Arabidopsis thaliana: one gene and its partners. The protein of the gene in region 1 binds, or shares a complex with, the protein of each later gene. Each region holds a gene or a part of one and is shown on either strand. Other genes may lie near its edges. The genes, in order: TIM23-2, TIM17-1 and TIM17-2.

Region 1 (3,722 bases):
AGAAGGAGTCGACCTCCAAGATCACATACAAGCAAGTACAAAGGCAACGGTTGGTCTTTTATGAGTTGTGCTCCTTCCAGAGTTCAGTGGGGTGATCTCCCATAGCGTGTGGGGAGTTCCCTTATCTTTGTATATGAAACATTCTTTTAGTTTTGTTCATGTAAAATTCTACACTTTAAAGAAGACTTGTTTATTGATGTAAAGACCCTCATTCGAATGAAGAAATCAGACGAAATGTCATTTTGCAGGTACATGATCTTCTGAAACAAAACAAAAATTCTAAGCAAGCTGCAAAACTGAAAGTTTAAGGCTTTAATAAAAAGATTAGAGGACACTATTTGTTCTTCATTTAGAGCAGCTGATAAGGTCTAGAGACGGTAAGAGTTTAGAGAAGGTTTGCTACACAATATGCCTGAGACTTGAGAACCAAAAACCACAAAACCAAAAGTGACTGATCCATCATCATAAGCTTGTGAAATCTTGGAGACAAAATTAATAGCTAAGAGCAGAGAACAGTCCAGAGAAATAGAACCAGGGGGATATAATAGGTAACAAAATAACACCATCAAATATCAGGTTAGTACTCAATGAGATAAACAGAGGTATACAATTATGTGAACACACTACACCATCCCAATTAACAAAATGATAAGAAAAAACTTGAGAGAAGAGCTTCATTTTCAAATGTAATACAACACATCAGTTTCTCAACGAATCAAGAAAGAGTTAACATTGATCAAAAACAGAAACATAAAACACTAACTAGAACAAACACACTCATGACAAATTAAATTACCAATCGGCAAAACATTTAATCAGTATGAATATAAGAAAAAGGTTTGCAGGTTATTCTTCAAAGTGAAACTGCATTATGACTTGACATACAGACTTGTTGTACCTCTAGAAACCAAATAAAGTTTTCATTTTTATGATTCCAAGACATACCAAACCTATCAAATTCTCACCATTTCCCCTATCAAAAATTTCAACAACGACCCGAAAAAGAGTCTGCCAATTAGACTCTTGCAGTCTTCAAATGGGCACATACCGCTTCACAATTTGCTTCCCAGCTACAACAGCTCCAGCCGCAAGTCCACCAAGAGCACCAGCTACAGCTGCAGATCTCACTCCTCTCGCCGCTCTACAAACAGCTCCGGTTCCAAGACCAGCCACCACACTGGTCCAAACATCATCTCTATCCGTGGCAGCCACAATACCACTCTCGATCCCTGCGTAAACCAATCCAATGATACCAATCCGATTACCCCAAGTTCGACCAGTTTGACCAGAAGAGTTCAAGATCCTGTTGATTTTGAGCTTAGTAGTGTCGCCAGATTCGAAGCTTTTGACTCCAGTGATGACTCCAACAGAAGCTCCGGCAACGGAGCCACCGAGGTAAGCTGTTCCGGTGTAGAAAGTGAGATTCTCACCCCAAGATCTACGTTGCCTTAAAGCCTCCTCCGTGAAGAGAAACTCAGGGGAGGTAGGAAGCTTGTAAAGGTACTGAGATTTGTTGATTGGGACTTCGTAGTTTTGGTAAGGATTGTAAAGTCTTGTGTTTTCGTCTGACCCATGATCGGATCTGTTATTAGCCGCCATCGATGGAAGAGAAAAGTCTAGGTTTTAAGGATTTTGGTGGTGGCTAGAGAGAGAGAGACGACGGAGAGGAAAGAGAGAGAGAGAAACGTGTGATGATGTGGTTGTGTTGTGTCTCTCTGAATGTTTGGTTTGGTTGCCGAAATGAGAAATGAAACCAAACTAAACTAAAAATCTATGTTTAGGGTTTTTAGGGAAAGACTCAGTCCAGTTGTTTCCAGATACGCGCAGTACCAGATTCGCTTAATACTCGCGTTTACGTTTATTTCGAACTTAACCCCATTTATTTTATTTTCTCTATTTAAACCCAAGTTGGTTTTCTCTTACCACCACACACTGTATTTGCTGATATTTCGAATGTGACCCCATAAGTTTAATTTTTACAAAATTAACCTCTTCAACATTGGACTTTTCAAAGTCATACTTAATTACTTTGCAAAATTGCAATCCATCGTGACAACCAAACATCCTCGAATTTTCAGGTGTTTCTCTTATAATGTCAGAAATATTTTTACGACGAACGAACCTAATTTTATGAATTTTTTTTGTCATCAGTTTTTATTTAGAGAACTAAACTTCAAATAAAATAATTAAGGATTCAAATACAAAGCTTATTTGTTTTTAATTTAAGTCAAAAGGCCAAAAAAAAAAATTCGATTTAATTTCGAGAGCGTAAATAGAAGACAAAATAAAAAGCATAAATTCGGAAGTAAATAATCGAAAAAGTTTTGCAAACTGGAAACCTCCTCCCGCAGTCACACAACTGCGCAGAGCCAAAAATAAACGAAACCTCCGGCGAAAGCTACGGCGAAGAGACTGCGTCTAACTCCGTTTACACGCCGATTGTCTTGGAGAGAGAGAGAGAGCACGAGGTAAATCACGCAAGGGTTAGATGGGAAACCAGAAACTAAAGTGGACGGCGGAGGAAGAGGAGGCGTTACTCGCCGGAATCAGAAAGCACGGTCCTGGAAAGTGGAAGAATATTCTCCGGGATCCAGAATTCGCTGATCAGCTCATCCATCGCTCCAACATTGACCTAAAGGTTTCTCTTTTCTTCACTCACCTCTTTAAAATCACTCTCGTTGAACCATATATTAAACCTAGACATCGAATTTGAGACCAACCCGGAGTGCATTATGTACTCTGTCGTATCTGCTTAGTTTAAGATCCATAAAAAATCAAAACTTTTGGCAATAGGTTTTATTAGTGTTGCCTCTTATCATTGGTTATAGGATTAGAGATTCCTTGGATAGATTATAAGTTTTTTTTTTTATTGATTCAAGTGTGCAATACCTAAAGCTAGCTTGGTTGAGTTGGAGATTTGAGGTGGAAAGAGTAGTACTGTCCTTCATTTTGCTATGGATTTCTTTTACTTGGTGGTAGTCTTATGAAGAAGAGTTTGAAAATTTTGTGTGTTTCAATACTTAATAGGATAAGTGGCGTAACTTGAGTGTTCCCCCTGGTACTCAAAGTTTAACTAATAAGGCACGGCCAGCAAAAGTCAAAGAGGAAGGCGACACTCCGGCTGCAGATGCAAATGATGCTGTCACTATTCCACGGCCTATTCCTACTATTCCACCTCCTCCCGGTCGGCGTACTTTACCTTCTGAGTTGATCCCTGATGAAAATACAAAGAATGCTCCTAGGTTTGTCTTTCTTTGTTCTCTATTTCTCATACTTGAGGCCAGAAAGTATGATGAGAGACTAGTTCCATAAATGCTAGTCTATCAACTCTGAGTAATAATCTTCATCATGTATTGCTAAACTTCTGATATGTCCCTATTTTCAGGTATGACGGGGTGATATTTGAAGCTCTCTCTGCTTTAGCCGATGGTAATGGATCTGATGTCAGTTCCATTTATCATTTCATTGAGGTTTGACAAATTTCTCTCTGCTATTTATTATGCACAGATCAGAAAATTATATGTGCTCGCTTTGTAAACTACTTAACAGATTATTAGAGACATCATCTATATATGTGGGAGGGATAGTTATGTTATTGGCACGTGTAAACTCTATCTTACATTGACTTGTGCAAATGGCTTATTACTACTATCAGCAATCTTAGATGATTCGTCCTTCTCAAATGAGAACACCGAGTTCTAAATGTAAAGTCTTATACTACT
Region 2 (3,136 bases), about 20 Mb from region 1:
ACCCTTCTGACGAAATGAGCAAAGTTGATATGCTGCATTTATACACATTATTACATTTTGTGACATGTCTTAGCTAGTTTAGTAAGGATGTAATTTAGATTATTTTTGAAATTGTGATGGTAGATCAACTGGCTCCACAACTCTCGATTTAATCCAAAATAGGGAATTTGCACTAACAAACCTTCTATTTTTCAAGTAATTGGTCGATTACAAATTTGTCCATAAATAACTAATGGCTTTGTGCGTCTTTTAAACAAGAATATGTTATAACAACACTGTTTAATCAAAAAAAAAACATGCTATCATGCACTTTTTTATTCATGATGCGAGATTACATGTTCATCCAATAATTTACTATTTTATCTACAGCCACATTTTTAAAAATACACAATAGCCCAAAGAGTGCATTGAGATAATTTGGTCAATCTGCAACAAAAATAATTATTTACCAACTACTATTTAGCACCATAGTCATATATCTAATTTTCTTCAAATTAGACCATCTAACTAAATACCTCTATGAAAAGCGCTTATTCAAACAGTTCACTTTCCTACTTAAATTAATCATAACTTCAGGGCGAGACATAAGACTACATATATAAACCAAGAAAAACCATTTATGGAACCAGTCACAGTACAACAACAATCACGGTCCATTCGATTCAACACTCTTTAGAATTACAAAACACTTTATGTAATAATGTAAGAATGTGAAAGAAGAGCCTCTAATTGAGTCCGAGACTCCCTCACTTACTCACACACACATTTTAGTTAACGGTGACTTTACCGACCATACCAGCACCCTGATGTGGCGCACAGTAGAAGCTGTAAGTCCCTGGCTCGGTCAAAGCAACCTCGTACGTCTCTCCCGCACCGTTGAGTAGATCTTGCTCGTCCATCGAGATCTTGGCCACGTCGACGCCACTTGGGATCTCGTCTTCATCGAAGACAACATTGTGTGGGTATCCAGCGTTGTTCTTGAACACAATCTTCTCTCCTTTAGCTATAGAGAAGTCGTTGGGAATAAAAGCTAACGACCCATCCCCTCCTCCCAAGAGAACTTCTATTGCCATGGCGTTTCCGGCCAAAGCAATTGAAGCTGCAGCCGCTACGGCCGCGACTCCGAAGTTCTTTAGAGATGACTTCACTGTAAGCTTCGGTGATGCAACAGCAGCAGTTTGGATTCTGACGGTGGCGGATGATTTGATGGTTGAGGCTTTAAGGCCGGTGAAAGATGGGATTGCAACGGTGGCTGAGGTTACTGAGGCCATGATGAAGATTCTTTTAGAGTAGTGATAAGATTTGGGTTTTAAGTTTTTCGTTTAGCTTTGGTTCGATCGAGTTTATGAGTTTTTATGTGGTGAAAGAGAGAAAGTGAGATAGGACAATGGATGGCTCTAAAAGCAAACTCCATAAAAAAACAAGTTATCTATAAAGACGCGTTGTGATTGGTTGATTTTAGATACTGTGTCGTGACATGGCATTATGAGGTGGAGGATGTTTGTCCACGTTTTAAATAAAGATAAGGTTCTTGAATGACGTGGCGTTTTTATATTAGTATTTTGTGATAAAGCGTGTTTACAAATGGGCCTTAATGGGCTTTGACCATGGTCAAGTAACGTGAACAACACGATATTTTTCCATTTTTGTAATTTTTCCTCATTCTTAGTTTCGTTTTCAAGGGCTCTTTTCTTATACCCTAAAAAGTTACTTGTAGATCAAAATCGAAAATCAATGGGAACTCCAGAATCATCGAGAGAGCCATGTCCGGATCGGATCCTAGATGATGTCGGAGGTGCGTTTGCGATGGGTGCTGTTGGTGGATCAGCGTATCACCTCATAAGAGGAATCTACAACTCTCCCGGCGGAGCTCGTCTCTCCGGCGGCGTTCAAGCTTTGAGAATGAGCGGGCCGAGAAGCGGAGGAAGCTTCTCCGTGTGGGGTGGTCTTTACTCAACCTTCGATTGTGCGTTGGTGTACGCAAGACAAAAGGAAGATCCATGGAACTCGATCTTATCTGGTGCAGCCACTGGAGGATTCCTCTCGTTGCGTCAAGGCTTAGGCGCGTCTGCTAGATCGGCTTTAGTCGGAGGTGTGTTGTTGGCTATGATAGAAGGAGTTGGTATCATGTTAAACAAAGTTCAGAGTACTGCGCATAACGAGCAGTTCATGGAGGATCATGCAGCTACTTCTTTACCATATGGTATGGGTCAGATATCTGGTCAGTCCGTACCGGTACCGGAGACTTCTTCTTCTTCTTCTGGTTCGGTATCTTGGTTTGGGAGTTTGTTTAAGAAGAAGAAAGAAACAGAGGATCATCATTCAGAGAGCAGAACTCACATTTTGGAGAGCTTTGATGCTCCTCCTGTGCCTACTTATGAGTTTAAGTGATGGAATTATTGAGGTCTGAATTTTACTTTTAATGTTAAGAGCTTAGTAACTAGAATTATATATTCTGCAATAAGTTTTATATAATAATATTATGAATTAGAGACTATTGTCAATTTGGATTGATATAATACCGTCTGGTTTTATGTATAATTTACCAATTGTTACAACATGATTAGCGTGAAGGTTAACTTCTTGTGATAATGTTGCTCGTATAAGTTTTAAAATTAACAAGTTCTCTCACTGGAATTGAGAAGCATACATGGATTATAAAGTGAAAGAGATACTATGGAATTGAATAGATGGAAAATATAAAGTGAACCAACAACTACTATATGTGCTTAGACATTTGAGATATAGTGTTGTGGAAGATATATTAGAGTACCAACAATACTACTCAGAAAAGTTCATATTGTAACTAGGCGATGTTGAAAGTGAAGTCATTGGGGTTCCATTTACCATTCTCCCGAAACCTCTCATGAAACATGACTTCCTTATTGCGTTTCACCGCCAATGCTATTGTACTCGTTATTTCATAGCGTCTTGTTTTCCCCTGAATCCAACGAAAGAGTACAAAAGAAAAGAGATTAATGCAGGTGTGGATTATATAAAGGGTAGATCAACATTGTTACATTCTCTTACAAATATGTCTTCTGAATCTTCTTTGTCAGTTTCAAATGGATCATACATAGTAAATCTCTCAGCAAGCTCCTTCATTGGTGTTACTTCTTCTCTGTCCGTATAATCA
Region 3 (4,178 bases), on another chromosome or scaffold:
AACCTCGTTCAAGAAGAGCATATATATCATTAGCACTGTACACAACTTCTTCTTCAAGACCTCTTAAAACCACAGAACCCTTCCCATCCTCCATCAAAGAAATGGGCTTCCTCTGCTTATCCTCAGAAGATCTTGAGGAATCATCTTGAGCTAACAAATCCGTAACTTCCTCATTGTAAAGCTCCAAGAATGTTACTTTCATACTGTAATCAGCATTTTGCGCCTCAAGAGTATCGAAAATATGTCTAACAGCTCTGGGAATCACCCCAGCCTCCGCAGGTAAATCCCCTCCCTTTTTCCTCATTCCACCTTCCATAGTGTAAGTCTTCCCAGTTCCTGTTTGTCCATAAGCAAACACAGTACAGCTAAAACCTTCCAAGACTTCATGAACAATAGGTGCAATAGCTTGATCATATATAGACCGTTGTTGTGACTTAGGACCAAAAACCTATAGAATAAACACCATCAGAGACCCTTGAATACAAAACCATCAAGTAGAGAAAGAGACCAACCAACCTTGTCGAAATTGAAAAGACGGTCTACTTGCTTATTAGCAATAGTATGAAGAACATTGACTTCTCTTCTCATTTCATTACAAGAGATGACTCTAGGAACACTAGATTTCTGCTCTTCTTCACTTAATGGTTTGCATCGTAGAATCACTTGAACATTGACTTCTTTATTATCTCTATCGAGACGGTTAGAGAAAGAATCAGGTCGTCTTCTCTCGAGACGAGGAGTTAGAAACGGTGCAGGTGATGGAATCACTCCTACTCCACTTTTCCTTGATACCACCTCTGGCGTAAACGACATCTTCGATTTCTGTGAAATCAAATTCAAATTCCCTAATCAATTGAGAAAGGTTGGATCAGAATCCCAGAGATTCGAATTCTAAATAAGATTCACTTACAGGAAACAGAGCCGAATCCTGGAGATCGAAAGAGAGACTTCTTTTCAAGTTTGAGAGAGAATTTGAAGAACAAAAAAAGATTAGGGTAAGTAACCGTTGGGAGTGGAAGCAGATCCAAATTCGAATTACTAGAGAGCTCAACACTACCTTTAATTTCAAAAGTTTTTTTAAAAGTCGCAAATATCTTCTTCTTTTTTGTCTCAGTATTCATATATTGCTAGATTATTTATTTACAGGTATTATGATATTAAATATTTCAGTCAAAAAATTGTTCCAATAATCCAACAACTTTATGATTTGTAAACATGGAAAAAAGGGAAAAAAAAAAAAGGAATTGTAAATCTACTACTTTCTGATTTTATTCTTAAATAAACACTTTTGCCAATACAATCATATATATGTGAGATGGATTTACTACTTCTTTTTTTTTGGGGAAAGAATTTGGAATCAGCACTATTGGAGATGGATAAATTAAAAAAATGATCATTAGCTCATTATTATCATTGATTTGACAAAATTAGAGAGAAAGAAAAGAAAACACAAAAGAATTTGTAATTGAATATGAGAGTATTTAATTCAGTCTCCAACTGTTCTATGTGTGATTAATCCAAATGTTGTAACTTGTGAAGACCAATATATATTAACAATCTGTATACATTATACACTAACGTACCGTTGTAAGAGAGTTAATGACATTCTTGCATTATAAAGGAGCTTTTAAGCGTGAGTTCAAGACGGGTAAACAGACAACAACATCCTTTAATCTTTTCTTAGTCTATGGGCTACTCCAAACTTGGGCTACTCCAAACTTGGGCTACTCCAAATTGGGCTTCTCTACTTTAAATCTTCTACTAACTATTTGGGCTTTTATTAATAGGTTTAATTACTTTCTCTCTCAGGTCTTTCTTTTAACTAGTTTGGGCAATTGAAAAAACTTTTGGCTCCTTTTTTAAATTTTACTGAACGAAATTATCCTAAAACAATAAAAAATAAAGCAACCATATTCGAAAAGAAAAGAAAAATGAGCGATGCCGGCAAAAAAGAGAGGGAAATTAAAAAAAAAAAAAAAAAACGCAACAGTGTCGGAAAAATAAAGCTGACAAAAAATTAAACGCAAAATAGTTTGGTCGCTGTAACTTTTTTGTTTATTTTTTTCTAGCCAACCCTAATAAACCCTGACGCCGTTTCTTCTTTTACCTTCCTTCTCTCGCTCACCGTCGCACCTCCTTCATTTTTTCTCTCTCTCTCAAACTCGTCTCTAAAACTCGTCCGTCGATTAATTCCTCGTTAGTCTCAGGTATGCTTCTTCGATTCTCATCTATCATCAACAACAGTGCTTTCTCAATTCTCTTAGATTCATTTCTATACACAAAGTTTCCACCTTTTTCTATGGTTTGCTTTCGATCGTAAAGTACGGATCTTTGATAAACCCTAATCTTCTTCGTTCGATTGTATATGTTCAGTATTTAATTGGAATTAGTCAGAGATCTATTTGTTGATTTCGCAGTGACTTACAAAACCCTAAATTTCTTACTATTTGTTAATGAATCAATATTCATTTGATTACAGGTTTGATAGAATCATTGCCTGAGGCATCTAATAATGGGAACACCAGAGACATCTCGGGAGCCTTGCCCTGATCGTATACTCGATGATATCGGTGGTGCTTTTGGTATGGGAGCTGTTGGAGGATCTGCCTTTCATTTCATTAAAGGGACTTACAATTCTCCTAAAGGTAGTCGCTTTGTTGGAGGAACACAATCGGTGAGCATGAACGCACCTCGTACTGGAGGCAGTTTTGCTGTTTGGGGAGGTTTATTCTCGACATTTGACTGTACCATGGTGTACCTAAGGCAAAAGGAGGATCCTTGGAACTCTATCATTGCTGGTGCTGCAACTGGAGGGTTTCTGTCTATGCGGCAAGGGGCTGGTGCTGCTTCGAGATCAGCTATTTTTGGAGGGGTTTTGCTTGCTTTGATTGAAGGAGCTGGGATCATGTTGAACAAGGTACTGGCTCAGCCTCAGAATATGATGATGGAGGACCCTGGAATGCAAGGAATGCCTGGGATGCAGGGAATGCAGGGAATGCCTGGGATGCCCGGAATGCAAGGAATGCCTGGGATGCAAGGAATGCAGATGGGGCAGATGCAGAGTCAAGCACAGATAAGGTCAGAGAGTCAAAACCAGAATACAGCTTCATCATCATCATCATCATCATGGTTTGGAGGGCTTTTTGATAAGAAAAAGGAGGAGGTGCAACCAGGCAGTGAAAGTAAAACAGAGGTGTTGGAGAGTTTTGATGCTCCTCCGGTGCCATCATTTGAGTTCAAGTAAGCTTTGTGGACATCTATTTCTCTGTCATCCAATGGTTTACCTACTGCCTCAACTATCAATTCCATTTCGTCGTCTTTTTGTCTATCCTAAGTTCTCAGCTGAATTCTTCTTGTTCATGGAAGAATCAGCATGCTATGTTCTCTCTCTTTTCACTTATGGTTATGTTTCAATGAGCTTATGCACTCAATCTAGGAATATTCTCTTTGTGAAACCATTCCACAGATATTGTTGGTTCTTAAATAATGTAGTTATAGATTTTAACAATATTCGCCAGTGGAAAATGTTTGAGCATTGGAAATGAATCCCTTGGTCCAATATCTTAGCCCATCCACACAACTCAAACACAGCAATTATATTGTAGTCACAGCAAGTACTTCAAAACTTCAGAAAAAGATCAATCAGAGTGGTTTGTGAAATCTTCAGACTGATCAGAAGATGAACAGTTCTAACAACAATCATATATCCTTAGCAGTACTGATTCATGATAATTGTTGTGCTTGTTACTTCTTAGTAAGTAGGATCACAAAAGCTTGGTCACACCAACAATATTCGGATTAAGGAAAGAGATCAGCGTTTTGATTTGTGATATTTACATTTCCTCTTCTAGTCTTGGGCTTATAAAGGCCCAAATTCAGGGACCAAAAACGACGCCGTAACTTGAATCATATTCGAACTCGAAGGCTCCTTTTGATGCTTCTTCTTCCTCAAATCTCACTGTAGGGTTTTTAGGGGTTTTCTCTCTCTTTGCAATCATGGAGTCTCTAGGGAAGCTACAGCTTCATCAGCAACCAAATCACCTCTCTTTCACTCATTTCTCTTCATCTTTCCCCAAAAAGCCTTCGTCTTTCTCTCTCAGATCCTTACCCAGATCAACATCATCCTTCAAATGCATTTCAATCAAAGCTTCCTCATCCAAGTCTCAAGACTCGAAGCT

What was found.
Region 2: TIM23-2 (region 1) and TIM17-1 share a complex: the UniProt entries of both Arabidopsis thaliana proteins name them as parts of the TIM17:23 complex.
Region 3: TIM23-2 (region 1) and TIM17-2 share a complex: the UniProt entries of both Arabidopsis thaliana proteins name them as parts of the TIM17:23 complex.

What each region holds. Positions count from the first base shown.
Region 1 is NC_003070.9:27,381,454-27,385,175, reverse strand, and holds TIM23-2 (translocase inner membrane subunit 23-2), read right to left. Parts: upstream 1,812-3,722; 5' UTR 1,621-1,811; coding exon of another isoform or gene 1,600-1,620; coding exon 1,033-1,599; 3' UTR 652-1,032; downstream 1-651. Other genes in the region: AT1G72755 (uncharacterized protein), read left to right, coding at 1,358-1,395, 1,593-1,620; AT1G72740 (Homeodomain-like/winged-helix DNA-binding family protein), read left to right, coding at 2,489-2,638, 3,028-3,242, 3,386-3,470. UniProt on the Arabidopsis thaliana protein: Essential component of the TIM17:23 complex, a complex that mediates the translocation of transit peptide-containing proteins across the mitochondrial inner membrane. Links the inner and outer membranes.
Region 2 is NC_003070.9:7,042,003-7,045,138, forward strand, and holds TIM17-1 (translocase inner membrane subunit 17-1), read left to right. Parts: upstream 1-1,625; 5' UTR 1,626-1,734; coding exon 1,735-2,391; 3' UTR 2,392-2,590; downstream 2,591-3,136. Other genes in the region: DRT112 (Cupredoxin superfamily protein), read right to left, coding at 768-1,271. UniProt on the Arabidopsis thaliana protein: Essential component of the TIM17:23 complex, a complex that mediates the translocation of transit peptide-containing proteins across the mitochondrial inner membrane. Links the inner and outer membranes.
Region 3 is NC_003071.7:15,697,185-15,701,362, reverse strand, and holds TIM17-2 (translocase inner membrane subunit 17-2), read left to right. Parts: upstream 1-2,008; 5' UTR 2,009-2,207; intron 2,208-2,479; 5' UTR 2,480-2,512; coding exon 2,513-3,244; 3' UTR 3,245-3,553; downstream 3,554-4,178. Other genes in the region: AT2G37420 (ATP binding microtubule motor family protein), read right to left, coding at 1-448, 517-813; AT2G37400 (Tetratricopeptide repeat (TPR)-like superfamily protein), read left to right, coding at 3,997-4,178. UniProt on the Arabidopsis thaliana protein: Essential component of the TIM17:23 complex, a complex that mediates the translocation of transit peptide-containing proteins across the mitochondrial inner membrane. Links the inner and outer membranes.